Linked DNA regions of Caenorhabditis elegans. The protein of the gene in region 1 purifies or fractionates together with the protein of each later gene. This does not show direct contact. Each region holds a gene or a part of one and is shown on either strand. Other genes may lie near its edges.

Region 1 (4,859 bases):
CTCAAAGAAAGCGTGAATTGTAGATGCCAGGTTTTTGATGAACAAATAAAAATTTATGAATTCCTTCGGATGGGGTCTTTGATGAACATAAATTAAAAGGGAGAAGCATGCTGAAATGAAAGTTACCATTTTTACAAAATTGCTTCAAAATTAGAACTGGATGTATTATTTAAACAAGCTTCCGGTGTTTGAAGAATTATTCATATTATTTAAATTTTAAATTAACTAGTTCAGGTTTTTTAATCCTTTTATATAATTGTCAGAAACTGTCAGGTTGCCCCACGTTCCAAATTTGACTCAAGGAAGGTAAAAAGACACTTGAATCTGGTACTAGAGTCGTTTTTGTGCCTATGTGAAAGACTATTCTTGGAGCTCTTCTTTCAAACATTTCGTGCATTTCTGCCAGAATTGTTCTGAATTCTGAAATCATTATGTACAAACATCTTTATCAAAATATTATCTTCATGTGATACGAAGCATGTCAAACTTATCTCCTGTAAAACGTTATCCAACTGTAGTCCAAACCATTTACCTACAATACAGTAACCAATTTCTTCAGACTAAACGCTTTCTAATGGTTTGCTCATTGATCGTCTCTCATTTGAATTGATATCCTGTTCAATTCAGATTCAAAATCTCATTAATCTCATGTCCGGATGATGTGGCAGATAAGCGAGGAAATGTTTCAATTGCGCAAGGACAAATCAACGATAAACTCATGTGTGAGTGTGCGAATTGAACGAAGAAATTGGTTTGGCAATCGTAGAAATTCACACTAACTGTCTATTAATTACCTGTCAAAAGTGTCTGGTTTCTCTCACGTTTTGTGTACTTTCTCGTAGATAAACCGTTTAGAGATTTGAAACATTCATTCACACTCCTAAAACTAACCAATGGACATTAAAAAATAAAGTTGCGATTTGGGAAAAAGGGATTTGCTTTTGGAAACTACAAAAATATTGCTCCGTGACATGATCCAAAAATATATAAATTGGAATGCTCCACGTAGTTTTTAAATATTAATGATAAACCTTATTTTTAATTTCAGCATTAATTTCAGAGATTGGCAAAAGGTGAGAGGCATTATTAAAAATAGCCTTCAAATGTTATTAGGTTTTCACAAAAGTAAACCATGTTGTTTCTAGATTTCGAAATTCATAAGATCTCGTTTGTTTCAAATCTACTATTCACGAAAACATAACGTATGTTGCAGACCATTCCCAGAAGGAAAAAACTATGAAAAAGAAAATATGTTTTTCTTTCGATTGTTTCCGAAATAAAATCCATTTTCAATCTAAGTTCCTGTTATAAATCATGTAGACATTGACGTTGAAATAGCAAAATGCTTGCACATCGTTTTCTTATCATTTCTCTTCTCGAAGCATTCTAACTATAAATTTATTTGTTTTTCAGTGTCAATGTCGTTATATTAAAAAAAAAATCATGGGACATTTTGTAAAAACTTTTTCAAAATAATAAATGTTCTCATCGAATCTATACTATAGTTATCAACTGTTCTCAATCGGTAGAGTGCTCGGGCTCCCGATCGATTTCACAAAAATGGTTTGGTCCGCAAACACGACGACGGACATTGCGTATTTGTCGTCATTTTCCCTCTTCACGTGCTGTGTTCAGTTCAATTCGGGTTTTTATTTGCCGTCAGACCACTTTTTTTCGTGACTCATACTAAAAAATGCAGAAATAGAGCAATTTATCCTGCTATACAGATTTTTTATATTTTCTAGTTGAAATCCTCGACTATTGAATTAATTTGTTGACTTCGTACTGTACTTGTCGCATTTCTTTTTATAAGAAAAATTAATAAAATATATTAATTTAGTTTCAAAATGGCGGAATTGGTTCGTCCAAAAAAGCCAAAACATCGAGAGCGAGCACAAAGTGATTATACACCCCCAATACCAGATCGTCCTGCAATTGTGAATGGTTTGAGACTCCCTGCGGTAATAACAATACCACTAAACTTTTTGTTTCATATTGATTTTATTTTCAGGCTCCATCACATACTATTGAGGATTTACCAGAAAGATCAGCATCACCGGAACCTGAAGATCAGTAAGTGGTAAAATAACGATTGAACTGAAAAATATGTATACGTTTCCAGGGATATAAGCTTGACCGAAGATTCCTTGAAACGCGAAGAAGCATCTGAACCTTTAAAAGATGTGAGAAGTAGTCCAGTTCGACCAGCCCCTCCACCACCAGTCAGTTGAAATTCTAAAACTCAAAATATGAATCATTTGTTTTCAGCGTGTTTCTCAAGAAAGAGAAGCTCCACCAATTCCTCCAAGAAGTATGATCTTTCCACGAAGTACCAGCATGGTTGCTGAATCTAGAAAAGAATCAACTACAGCGGTAGCACCAAAACGGAGTGTAGCAGTTGCTTCATATCCAGCTGTCCCCGAACTAGCCGAACTTCCATCCTATACTGATGCGCTTCAACATCCGCAAGTGTATCCTTCAATAAATGGAGGACTTCAGCATTCACACTCAGCTACTGCCATTCCAGTAAGTATTTAATCTGAAACCTTATTATTTTTCTTTATTTTTGTAGGAAAAAACACGATTTTCTGCACCAGTTGAGAGAGAGCGTGTACGAGAGGGAGAAGCTCCTCCGATGTATCCATCTATCAAAACTTACGAACGGAATGAACATGGTTTAATGACTGAAGAAAACTTGGTCACATTCTACCATAATCCCCTTTATGAGCACGCCGAAATGTTTGTTGATCAGTTTATTAAAACTGAGGAAGTACCAACTCAATCTGGATCTTTATTTCCACTCTTAGCTAGACTAAGAACAGTATGTGACCTAATGACTGTTAGTGAAGTGAAAGGAAAAGAGAATACAGAAGAATTGCAAAAATGTTTACGAGAATGTTGGGTTCAACAATCTCTTTCTGTTGATGCAAAAGGAAAATGTGGAGACAACAATGATGGTACAGGTAGAGCATCGTATTTTTCTTTTGAACTGCAACAGGCAGTACTGGATCAAATGAAGAAACTTCTCTCTACGAATCGAAGCAATCTGATGGATCATTCAGTTTGTGAAGAGACTTCGTTTAGATCAATTGCTCTACAAATTCAATGGCAGGTTATTATTATCAATAATAATTTCATGGCTGAAAACGGGTTGTCTACAAATTGTCCACCCAGTTGTGAGTTTATTATTTCAACAGCTTACTAGTTGAATATGAATGTATTTCAGTAATTGCCAGTGTACCTATGACACCGGGTAGAGTTGCTCTTCGCACTGCTCTTTCAGACATATTCTATCATCTTCGGTATCCAAGACTTTCAAAAAGATTTATAGATACACTTGTTGGATGGATCAAAGAATTGGTAAATCATTTCAAGTTCGTAATGTAACGTTTATGTAAAAAAATGTTTCAGACATGTGTGTTGAATATGCGTCAATCATGCGACGACGGTATATTCCTCCTTTGCCACCTTTTACGTCTTCCATCTCCAATTGATCAATGGGCTTCTCCATTTGTACAAACCTTCATTCAATCACAATCTGCTCCAAAGTTGAAGCTTGATTATTGTGTTGCACTTCTCACTCATCTCCTCAACCCAATCAAAGCTCGAGAATCTTTCCTTCGCCATGTTGCTCAATCTGAAAAAGAGGAGTCAACTTGGGAGATTCTTGCAGATGACGATGACGGTGAAGCAAATGAGTTTTCATTTGTCACAATCAACGAATCAGATCTAACTGCATTCCTTGATCAATTTCCGATTTCTGAGCTTTATTCAATTGCTTATCTTGCTTTCACTTCATGTAAGTTTCAAGTTGCAATTGTAAACTTAGACCGTTCAAATTTTCAAATTTTCAGACTCTGACAAAGGATCTCAATTTACTGCTATGATTGCATTCCAGCTCTTGCTCATGAAAGTAAGTATAGTAATATCTAAATTTATGATAGAAACATTGAATTTTTAAGATTCTTGATAATGGTTTGACAAGTTATTCTCAACCCGGATATAAAATGTTCTGTAAGCAAATTGGAATAAGTCTCAAGTGAGTTTGTTATCCTTTGGCTCCTAGATAATGTGTTTTCTTTCAGGCACAGCGTTCGGGAACTTTGCTCCAATTGGCGACTTATTCGAGATCAAGTTCGACCAGGCGAAGAGCATCATCTTCAGAAAGAAGTAGATCGAGTTGTACTTCTAGCTCTAAATTACTTGATTCATCAAGACACCCTTGGATTGTTCCAATTTGTGGTGTCGTTACCATATGCTGTGGTTTCCGAAGAATGTAGAAGCCGATGTGAATATGCTTTAAGATCGAATAAGAAAATGTCTATTCACGAGATTTATGATACACCAATTTGTGAAGTACGCGCCAGGATTAGTAGTCGTCAGTTTCTTTAGAGTAAACCAAAATAATAAACATATTAATTTCAGAAGGAATTTCAAAACGAATAGGTGCGCTTGGAGCTCAGGATTCAGAATTTCTTGTCAACTCATTGGCCTCAATTGGATCTTATTCAAATTCGGATGTTTCGCAACTTTTGAAAGAGCTTATTGATGTGAGATTGAACATTTTTAACTAAAAACTTTACATTTTTGCAGGTTTGCTTTTGTGATGAAGACACTCGAGATGATTTGTATAAATGTGGTGGTGAAGCAATTGGACAAATTCTTATAAAAAGACCTGAAACATTGCATCAATTGCTCACTATTATTGATCGAAATCTTCAGCATATGGATTCCTATGCAATCAATGTTTTATCATCATCACGACTTTTCGAATGTCGATTAACGGAACCAATGATAAGCATCATAGGAAAATGGCTCATTAATAATCCTCCAGAACACGGAGCAAATCGTCTTGCTCG
Region 2 (7,633 bases), on another chromosome or scaffold:
TTTTTTTTAATTTTTATATTTTTTCGAAATTTTTTTTTCTAATTTGAATTTCTAATTCAATTTCAGCTCAAAAATCCAATTTTCATCGTTCTTTCGCCCTAACCTCCTCCACCACACTAGCATAGTGTAAATTCGCATCAACTGGCGGCGCGACGACGACATTTTCGGCTCCGGCGGTGTCGAATTTCATGGAATTCGCGGTGAAGCTCATCTTCCAGTAGGGTTCCACTTCTGAAATGCAGAAAAAATATCGATTTTTCTAGGAAAAATCGAAAAACTCAAAAATATTAAAGAAAAACCGGGTTCCAAGCCAATTTTCGCGAATTTTAAGTGAAAAATTCGAAATCTCCGCCCTGAAAAACCTAAATACTCCCACGGGGACTCGAACCCCGGACCTTTTGCTCCGAAGTCAAGCCTGTTAGCCACTGCGCCACCGGTGCGCCGAACCAGCGGCGCGTGATGCAACGCGTGGCGCAGTGGCTAAGCGGCTCGCCTTTGGAGCAAAAGGTCCGGGGTTCGATTCTCCGTGGGGGTGTATAGGTTTTTTATAGCGGAGAATTCGAATTTTTCACTTAAAATTGGGGAAAATTCACTTGGAAATAATTTTTCTCAAAATTTCACTGAATCCTTGCTGAGATTTCAACTCTTGGAGTCTCTATTTTAGAACTTTGAAGCTTAACATATATTAATAGTTCAAAAAAATGGATTTTGTATCATTTTCGAGCGAAAATTTCAGGAAACTAGGTTGTAACTCAATTTTTGCGAATTTTAAGTTAAAAATTCGAAATGTTCGCTATGAAAAACCTATACACCACTGCGGGGACTCGAACCCCGGGACCATTTGCTCCGAAGTCAAGCCTGTTAGCCACTGCGCCACGGGGTGCAACATGCATCACTGGTTAGCTGCAACGCGTGGCGCAGTGGCTAAGCGGCTCGCCTTTGGAGCAAAAGGTCCAGGGTTCGATTCCCCGTGGGGATATATAGGTTTTTTATAGCGGAGAATTCGAATTTTTCACCTAAAATTAGGGAAAATTCACTTGGAAATGACTTTTCCATGAAAGTTTCTCAAATTTTAAGCGAAAAATAGGTTTTCGGTAGTGGAAATTCAAAATTTCCCCCTAAAAATTCCGCGAAAATCACCATTTTTTTCAAAAATCTTCTCTGCAATAGTCTTGACACTTGTTTCTCCTTCTTGGGTACCCGTTGCATGCACCAGAACTGCAAAAAAAAAATCTTTATTTTTCTAGGAAAAAACGTGGGGGCTTACAGTGTCCTTTCGGAGCCGTACAGGCTTCAAAGCCCACTTCAACAAGCCGTGAGACTGCGGCGTCGGGCCGGAGAGATGCCAGATTGAGGAGGGTTAGCTGAAAATTTTTTCGGATTTTTAATACGAAATTCGAAATCCCCGCAAAATTTCACTCTAGAATTATTTTTTCCCAGGCTTCTAGCTCAATTTTGAAATTTTCGGGGTTACTGTAGCGCCAAAAGTACGCGATGCCCCCGTGGTGTTTGCGTACCTGACACCGAATTTTACGAAATTGAACCCAAATTGGCTTAAATTTCAGTTACGGGGTAAATTGGCAACGGGGAATTCGAATTTTGCATTGAAAATCAACTAGGAGCACTGGTTTCTCGAGTAAAATTAAATTTTTCTCGAAAACCAGTTGACCAAGGTGGTTTTCAATGCGAAATTCGAATTTCCCGTTGCCAATTCACCCCGGAACATGATTTTCAGCCAATTTAAGCTCAATTTCGTAAAATTCGGTCTCAGGTACGCAAGCACCGAGGTCAACGTACTTTTGGCGCTACAGTAACCCCAAAAATTGTAACATTGAGCTAGAAGCCCGGGGAAATTGAATTCTAGAGTGGAATTTTGCGGGAAAATCGAATTTCCTGGTGGAAAACTCCAAAAAATGCTCCGGAACCTGTTCTTTCTCGGCTTCTTTAATCGATTTATCCGTCGCATAGACGATTCTCTCGATTTTCAGCGTACTACTAGCTGGAACAGTTTCGGGGACAAATCTCGGGGACATCACGATGTAGCGACAATTTACACGATCTCCATTGGCAATTACAGCCGTAATTCTGGAAATTTTTGAGAAAATTGGTTTTCCGACAAATTGAAAATTTGGGCATAGCTTCCGCATCTCCGAGTGACAAATGTGCTCTATTGTCAAATTGTTGGCAGAAATACGGTATTTATTCACATTTTCAGCACAATTTAAGGCTGAAAATGTGAATAAAAACAGTTTTTATGCCATCAATCTGGGTAGAAACACATGAGTCACGGAATATTGTATAAAACTAGTTTTGCTGGGAATTTGACTTGAAAATTAGGTCAAATTTCGCAGAAACTATTGATTTTTCGCTTATTCTCTTCACTAACTTTCCATCTTTTTTCACGATAGCCTGTACAGGCCGTCCCAGACAATATAAGCTCCCAAAGACTGCTGCCAGCCGGCAAAAGCACTGTGAGAGCTCTCCACATCCGTAGAGTGGGAAGAGGAATGGCGATGGACCGAAATGGCCGACAGAATCCATGAACTGGCATGATGCCAACATTCCCTGGAATTTGGAAAAATTTTAAATTTTGAAAAAAATTTTTTTTTTTTTTTGAAAATTTGTTTTTCTCAAAATTTTTTTCAATTTCAAATTTGACATGAAAATCAACTCGAAATTCGAATTCTCCACATCACCAGCTTCCAAATGACACCCATCATGCCCATGATCCATCGATTTTGAAAATTTTGGGTCCCGCCACGAGGGGTACTGTAGCACCGGTTTCAGCTGTGTCGGAGCGCAAACTGCACGGAAAATGGGCATGATGGGGGTCATTGTAAAGCTGAAAGCGTTAGAGATTTGAATTTTTCAAAAATTTTTAGCAAAATAGACAAAATCAACATTTTTTCGAAAAAAAAAATAATTTTTTGCTCAAATTTTTTTCAATTATAAATTTCTTTTCAAATCGACTCAAAACTCGAATCCTCCACATCATCATCTTTCTAAAGACCCCCATACTGCCCGGGTTCCGATGATTTTGAAAATTCGGGTCTCGCCACGCGGGGTACTGTAGCACCGGTTTCAGCTGTGTCGAGACTGCCAAAACTCAAAATCAACGGACCCCGGGCATGTTGGGGGTCATTTTGAAGCTGAGAGTGGCGAGAATTCAAATTTTTCAATAATATTTTGAAAAAAATTGAAGTAAATTTCGTGCAAAAAAAAAAATTTTGGATTTTTTTTTCATTTTCAATTTTTTTAGAAATTCAGATTTTTTTCTAAAAAACAGTAATTTCCGCATATTCACCGTCATCGCAGTGGGTCTTTGCTGTAAAATGCCGATCGTATTAATAATAAAGCTCTGCAGGGTCTTTCCAACGCCCATTTGCTCCAAAAACTCTGAAAACGGGCGGTCGGCGTGCTCGGCGAGCAGTTTTCTGCCTTCTTCCGTGTCTTTTGTGCTCCATTGTGTGCAGAATGTGATGAATTTCATAAGAGCTCGCTTTTCCAGGATTCTGGAAGAATTTTTGGAGATTTATCATTGCGAATCGATTTTTTTGGCAAAGAAAATCGATATTTTATCGATTTTCAGCCTAAAAAAATCCCTTACGACAAAGCATTGCTCTGAAAAATCTCTCCTTTGCTACATGGCACCGGATTTAGGGTAATTCCGGCTTCTGGGGTCTCTGTTGGGCATAGCTGCCGGTTGACAAGCTTAAACTCGGCATAATGGGATACTTGGGAGTCACAGAGTGTTTGAACCTGAAAAAATTCAAAAAATTGGAAGAAAATCGTTTTTTTTTTCCAAATTTTTTTCAAGATTTTCAAAATTTTCCCATAAATTTTTGTCAAACTTTTCAATATCTGAAAATAATGCGGAAATTCGAATTTTTCGACGCTCTCAGCTTTCGAATGACCCCCAACATGCCCCGGCTCCGTTGATTTTGACTTTTGGAAGTTTTGACACAGCTGAAGCCGGTGCTACAGTAACCCGCGTGGCGAGACCCAAAAAAATCAAATTGCATGGAACCAGGGCATGATGGGGGTCATTTTGAAGCTGGTGATGTGAAGATCTCGGAAAAAATGTTAATTTTTGAATATTCTGAAAATTGACAATTTTTTGGAAAATATTTTTCAATTTTTTTAAATTTTCGATATTTCAGAAAACTAGCAAATAATTCGAATTCTCCACTTTATCAGCTTTCAAATGACCCCCAACATGTCCGTGGTCCGTTGATTTTGAATTTTGGCAGTCTCGACACAGCTGAAATCGATGCTACAGTAACCCGCGTGGCGAGACCCAAAATTTTCAAAGCGGTCGGAACCTGGGCATGTTGGGTGTCATTAGACAGCTGGTGGCGTAGAGAATTCGAATTTCAGAGTTTTAAATGAGGAAATTGAATTTTTAGAAAAATTTTTCTTTTTTTTCAGAAAAAAAGTTTCAAAAAAAATTTTTTTTTTGGCAAAAATTGATTTTTTGATGACTATTAGGGCAAAACATCAAGTTCTCCAATTTAGGTGTAATTTTGCAATTTTGTACCATTGCTCCCTTGGAAAGTAGAATTTTCGGCACTAAATCGATGGAAAATCGCCGCATTTGTGAAGCCTCTTCCAGTTGCGTTTTCATCGGCTTTTCCTCGTCTTTTCCACGTGGAATCCACGTCATTTCAATGTTTTCCACGATTTCTCGATTGCCGAGCTCAATGAGCTGCTCATTTTCAGTCAAAAGCTCTGATAACTTGGAAATCTCCGAGGAATCCAGCTTTTTTACCTGAAAATTCGGAAATTTTGGGGTTTTTCTGGCTGAAAATCAATAAAAACCTGATTTTCAGTCACTTCATGAACCATCGACATTGTGAATGATGACCAATCACCGCCGTAGTACTCATTTCTGCAAAAATATTTTTTATTTCGAATTTTTCAAGAAATCGAGTATGAAATTCGAATTCCAGACGTTATCAGCTTTCAAATGACCCCCAACACGCCTAGGTTCCGTGCATTTTGACAACCGACACAGCTGAAATCGGTGCTACAGTAACCCGCGTGGCGGGACCCAAAATTCTCAAAGTAGGCGGAATATGGGCATGATGGGGGTCATTTGAAAGCTGGTAACGTGAAGATTTCAGAAAGAATTCTGATTTTTTAAATTTCTGAAAATTGAAAAATGTTTTGGCAAATATATATTTTTTTTTCTTAAAATTTGTTTAATTTTCGATATTTCCGAAAACGAACAATTAATCTGATTTCTCAACGTTATTAGCTTTCAAATGAGCCCCAACACGCCTAGGTTCGGTGTATTTTGACAATCGACACAGCTGAAATCGGTGCTACAGTAACCCGTGACGGGACCCAAAAAAATCAAAATCAATGGAATATGGACATGGTGGGGGGTTATTTTAAAGCTAGTGACGTGGAGAACTCGAATATGATATCAGTTGGCTGACATTTTTCGAAAATTGGAAACTTTTGACGTTTTCCGAAAAATTTTCCACAAACTTGGTCAGAAAATTTTTACTTTCTGATTTTTCCCGAAAATTAATGTGATATTTGAATTCATCAGGTTCTCAGCTTCAAAATGACCCCCATCATGCCCAGAATCCGTTTATTTTGGGTCCCGCCGCGAAAAACTACAGTAACCCGAGGAGTTTTCGTGGCGGGACCCGAAAACTTCAAAACCAGCGGAATATAGGCAATTTGGGGATCAAATTGAAGCTGGCGACGTGGAGAATTCGAATTTTGCTGTATTTTTGAGGAAAAGTTATGATTAAAAAAAAAATTTAGCCGAAAATAATTTTTTTTTCGCAAAAATTTTTTTTTTTTCAATTTCATTCATTCATTTTTTTAAACTTTTTTTAAATGTTAGTTCGCCTATTACCTATCTAAATGAAGCACAGATAAGCCAGCTCGAGCACAAGCTGAAGCCAGAATGGCTTCAGGTAGTCCGGTGCCCAGCACCACTACGTCCACTGATTCTGGCAACTTTTCGTCCATTTTTTAGAGCTGGAAAAGCTGGAAATAGTTTGAATTTTTGGAAAATAAGAGATGTCATGCTTAAATTTGAAAAATTGAAAAAAACCAAAAAAAAAAAAAATTTTTTTGAAAATTTTCCAAAAAAAATTTTTTTTTCTATTAAAATATTTGATTTACGGCTGAAAACCTTTAAAAATTAACTAAAAAAAGTGGAAAAAACACGAAAAATCTTCATTTTCACACACACACACAAAACTTAACAAAAATGGCACGGGACGGGGGGAAGAGTTATAATATTTTTTTCAAATTTTCTGAATTTTTGCACAAAAAATAAACTTTAAAGGAAATGCTACACGTTGTGTCATTAAAATGTTAAAATTTACAACAAAAAATAAGGGGAATCTAGCAACAAAATAAATCAATTGTTTGGGAAAAAAATTGCGAAATTTCCAAAAAAAAAATTTTCTCAAAAAAATCAATAAAAATCCAGAAATTACATCCTTTCGTAGAGTCGATGAGGTTTGACACGTTCGTAGAATAGCATATAACTTTGACAGGCTGCCACGTGGGAGTACGGTACACGGGTTACCTGAAAAATTATACAAGTTTTCGGGGGAAAAATGAAAATTTGGGCATAGCTTCCGCATCTCCGAGTGACAAATGTGCTCTATTGTCAAATTGTTGGCAGAAATACGGTATTTATTCACATTTTCGGCCAATTTAAGACTGAAACTGTGAATAAATACAGTTTTTATGCCACCAATACGAGTAGAAGCACATGGGTCACGAGAAAATGTTTAGGAAGGGAATATTTAGGAAATTCTGTGAATTTTAATAATATGTCGTTTTTGTGACAAAGGCTCTTCGTTGACTGGAAATTCAAATTTTCTGAGAAAAATAAATTCGAGAAAATTCTGGAATGTTCCAAAACTTTCTAGAGAAATCGGGAAAATTCTGAAGTGTTCAATTTCGTGGAAAATTTCAGGAACCTGCAAATTTCTAGAACCTTTCGGAAAGTTCAAAAAAAAAAACTTCTTCAAGTTTTGATACTCCTAGAATATTCTGAAGTTTCAATAATTTGAAAAAAAAAGATCAAAATTGTTATAATTTCCAGAAACGCTCGCCAAAAACTCTCGGAAAGGACCGGAAAAAAGTTTTATATGATTTGAAAAACGTTTTTTTTTAGTTGTAAACACTCAGCTATATAATATTTATGTTGCTCGAAAACTTCCGGAAAACAGAAAAAAAACGTTCCATCTACAGAGAAAGGCTTAGAAATTTTAGAATTTGATTTCAATTTTGAGTACGCCAGTCGGAGCACGCGCTTCAGCGCGTTCGAACGGCTGGTATATATATATTAGGTCTCCAAATAAGTTCCGGGTCAAAAATCATAACTTTGTTCGCTGCGTATCGATTTTTATGAAACTTTGGGAATTTACGTTATCAACCATGATCTTTCACTTGACAATAGTCACGAAAGTTTTTGACCACCCCAAGTGTCCTAACGCGGAGCCAATTTTTTCAGGCATTTTTCTGATCTCGCTTCTTTTCAGTTTTCAATTGAGCTTTGTGTGCGGATTTTGCTTTGTTTAGATTATTAGAAAACAACAGAAGTTTGGAAAAAAATCCGCCCAAAAAAAAATTTTTTTGGTTGGTCGTCAAAAAA

What was found. Proteins that work in one complex are often made in the same cells at the same time.
Region 2: the proteins of epg-5 (region 1) and rep-1 fractionate together in Caenorhabditis elegans (co-fractionation; one large-scale study listed by BioGRID). This does not show direct contact.

What each region holds. Positions count from the first base shown.
Region 1 is NC_003280.10:6,606,345-6,611,203, reverse strand, and holds the start of epg-5 (Ectopic P granules protein 5), read left to right. Parts: upstream 1-1,838; 5' UTR 1,839-1,847; coding exon 1,848-1,961; intron 1,962-2,011; coding exon 2,012-2,073; intron 2,074-2,122; coding exon 2,123-2,222; intron 2,223-2,268; coding exon 2,269-2,526; intron 2,527-2,572; coding exon 2,573-3,176; intron 3,177-3,226; coding exon 3,227-3,360; intron 3,361-3,411; coding exon 3,412-3,799; intron 3,800-3,854; coding exon 3,855-3,913; intron 3,914-3,962; coding exon 3,963-4,039; intron 4,040-4,085; coding exon 4,086-4,378; intron 4,379-4,425; coding exon 4,426-4,550; intron 4,551-4,593; coding exon 4,594-4,859.
Region 2 is NC_003281.10:1,568,679-1,576,311, reverse strand, and holds the start of rep-1 (Rab proteins geranylgeranyltransferase component A 1), read right to left. Parts: upstream 6,007-7,633; 5' UTR 5,989-6,006; coding exon 5,873-5,988; intron 4,889-5,872; coding exon 4,819-4,888; intron 4,769-4,818; coding exon 4,538-4,768; intron 3,760-4,537; coding exon 3,608-3,759; intron 3,513-3,607; coding exon 3,305-3,512; intron 2,566-3,304; coding exon 2,387-2,565; intron 2,086-2,386; coding exon 1,926-2,085; intron 1,365-1,925; coding exon 1,268-1,364; intron 1,219-1,267; coding exon 1,141-1,218; intron 980-1,140; exon of another isoform or gene 907-979; intron 883-906; exon of another isoform or gene 810-882; intron 538-809; exon of another isoform or gene 462-537; intron 441-461; exon of another isoform or gene 368-440; intron 232-367; coding exon 104-231; intron 1-103. Other genes in the region: Y67D2.2 (Ubiquitin carboxyl-terminal hydrolase), read right to left, coding at 6,461-6,556. UniProt on the Caenorhabditis elegans protein: Substrate-binding subunit of the Rab geranylgeranyltransferase (GGTase) complex. Binds unprenylated Rab proteins and presents the substrate peptide to the catalytic component B and remains bound to it after the geranylgeranyl transfer reaction.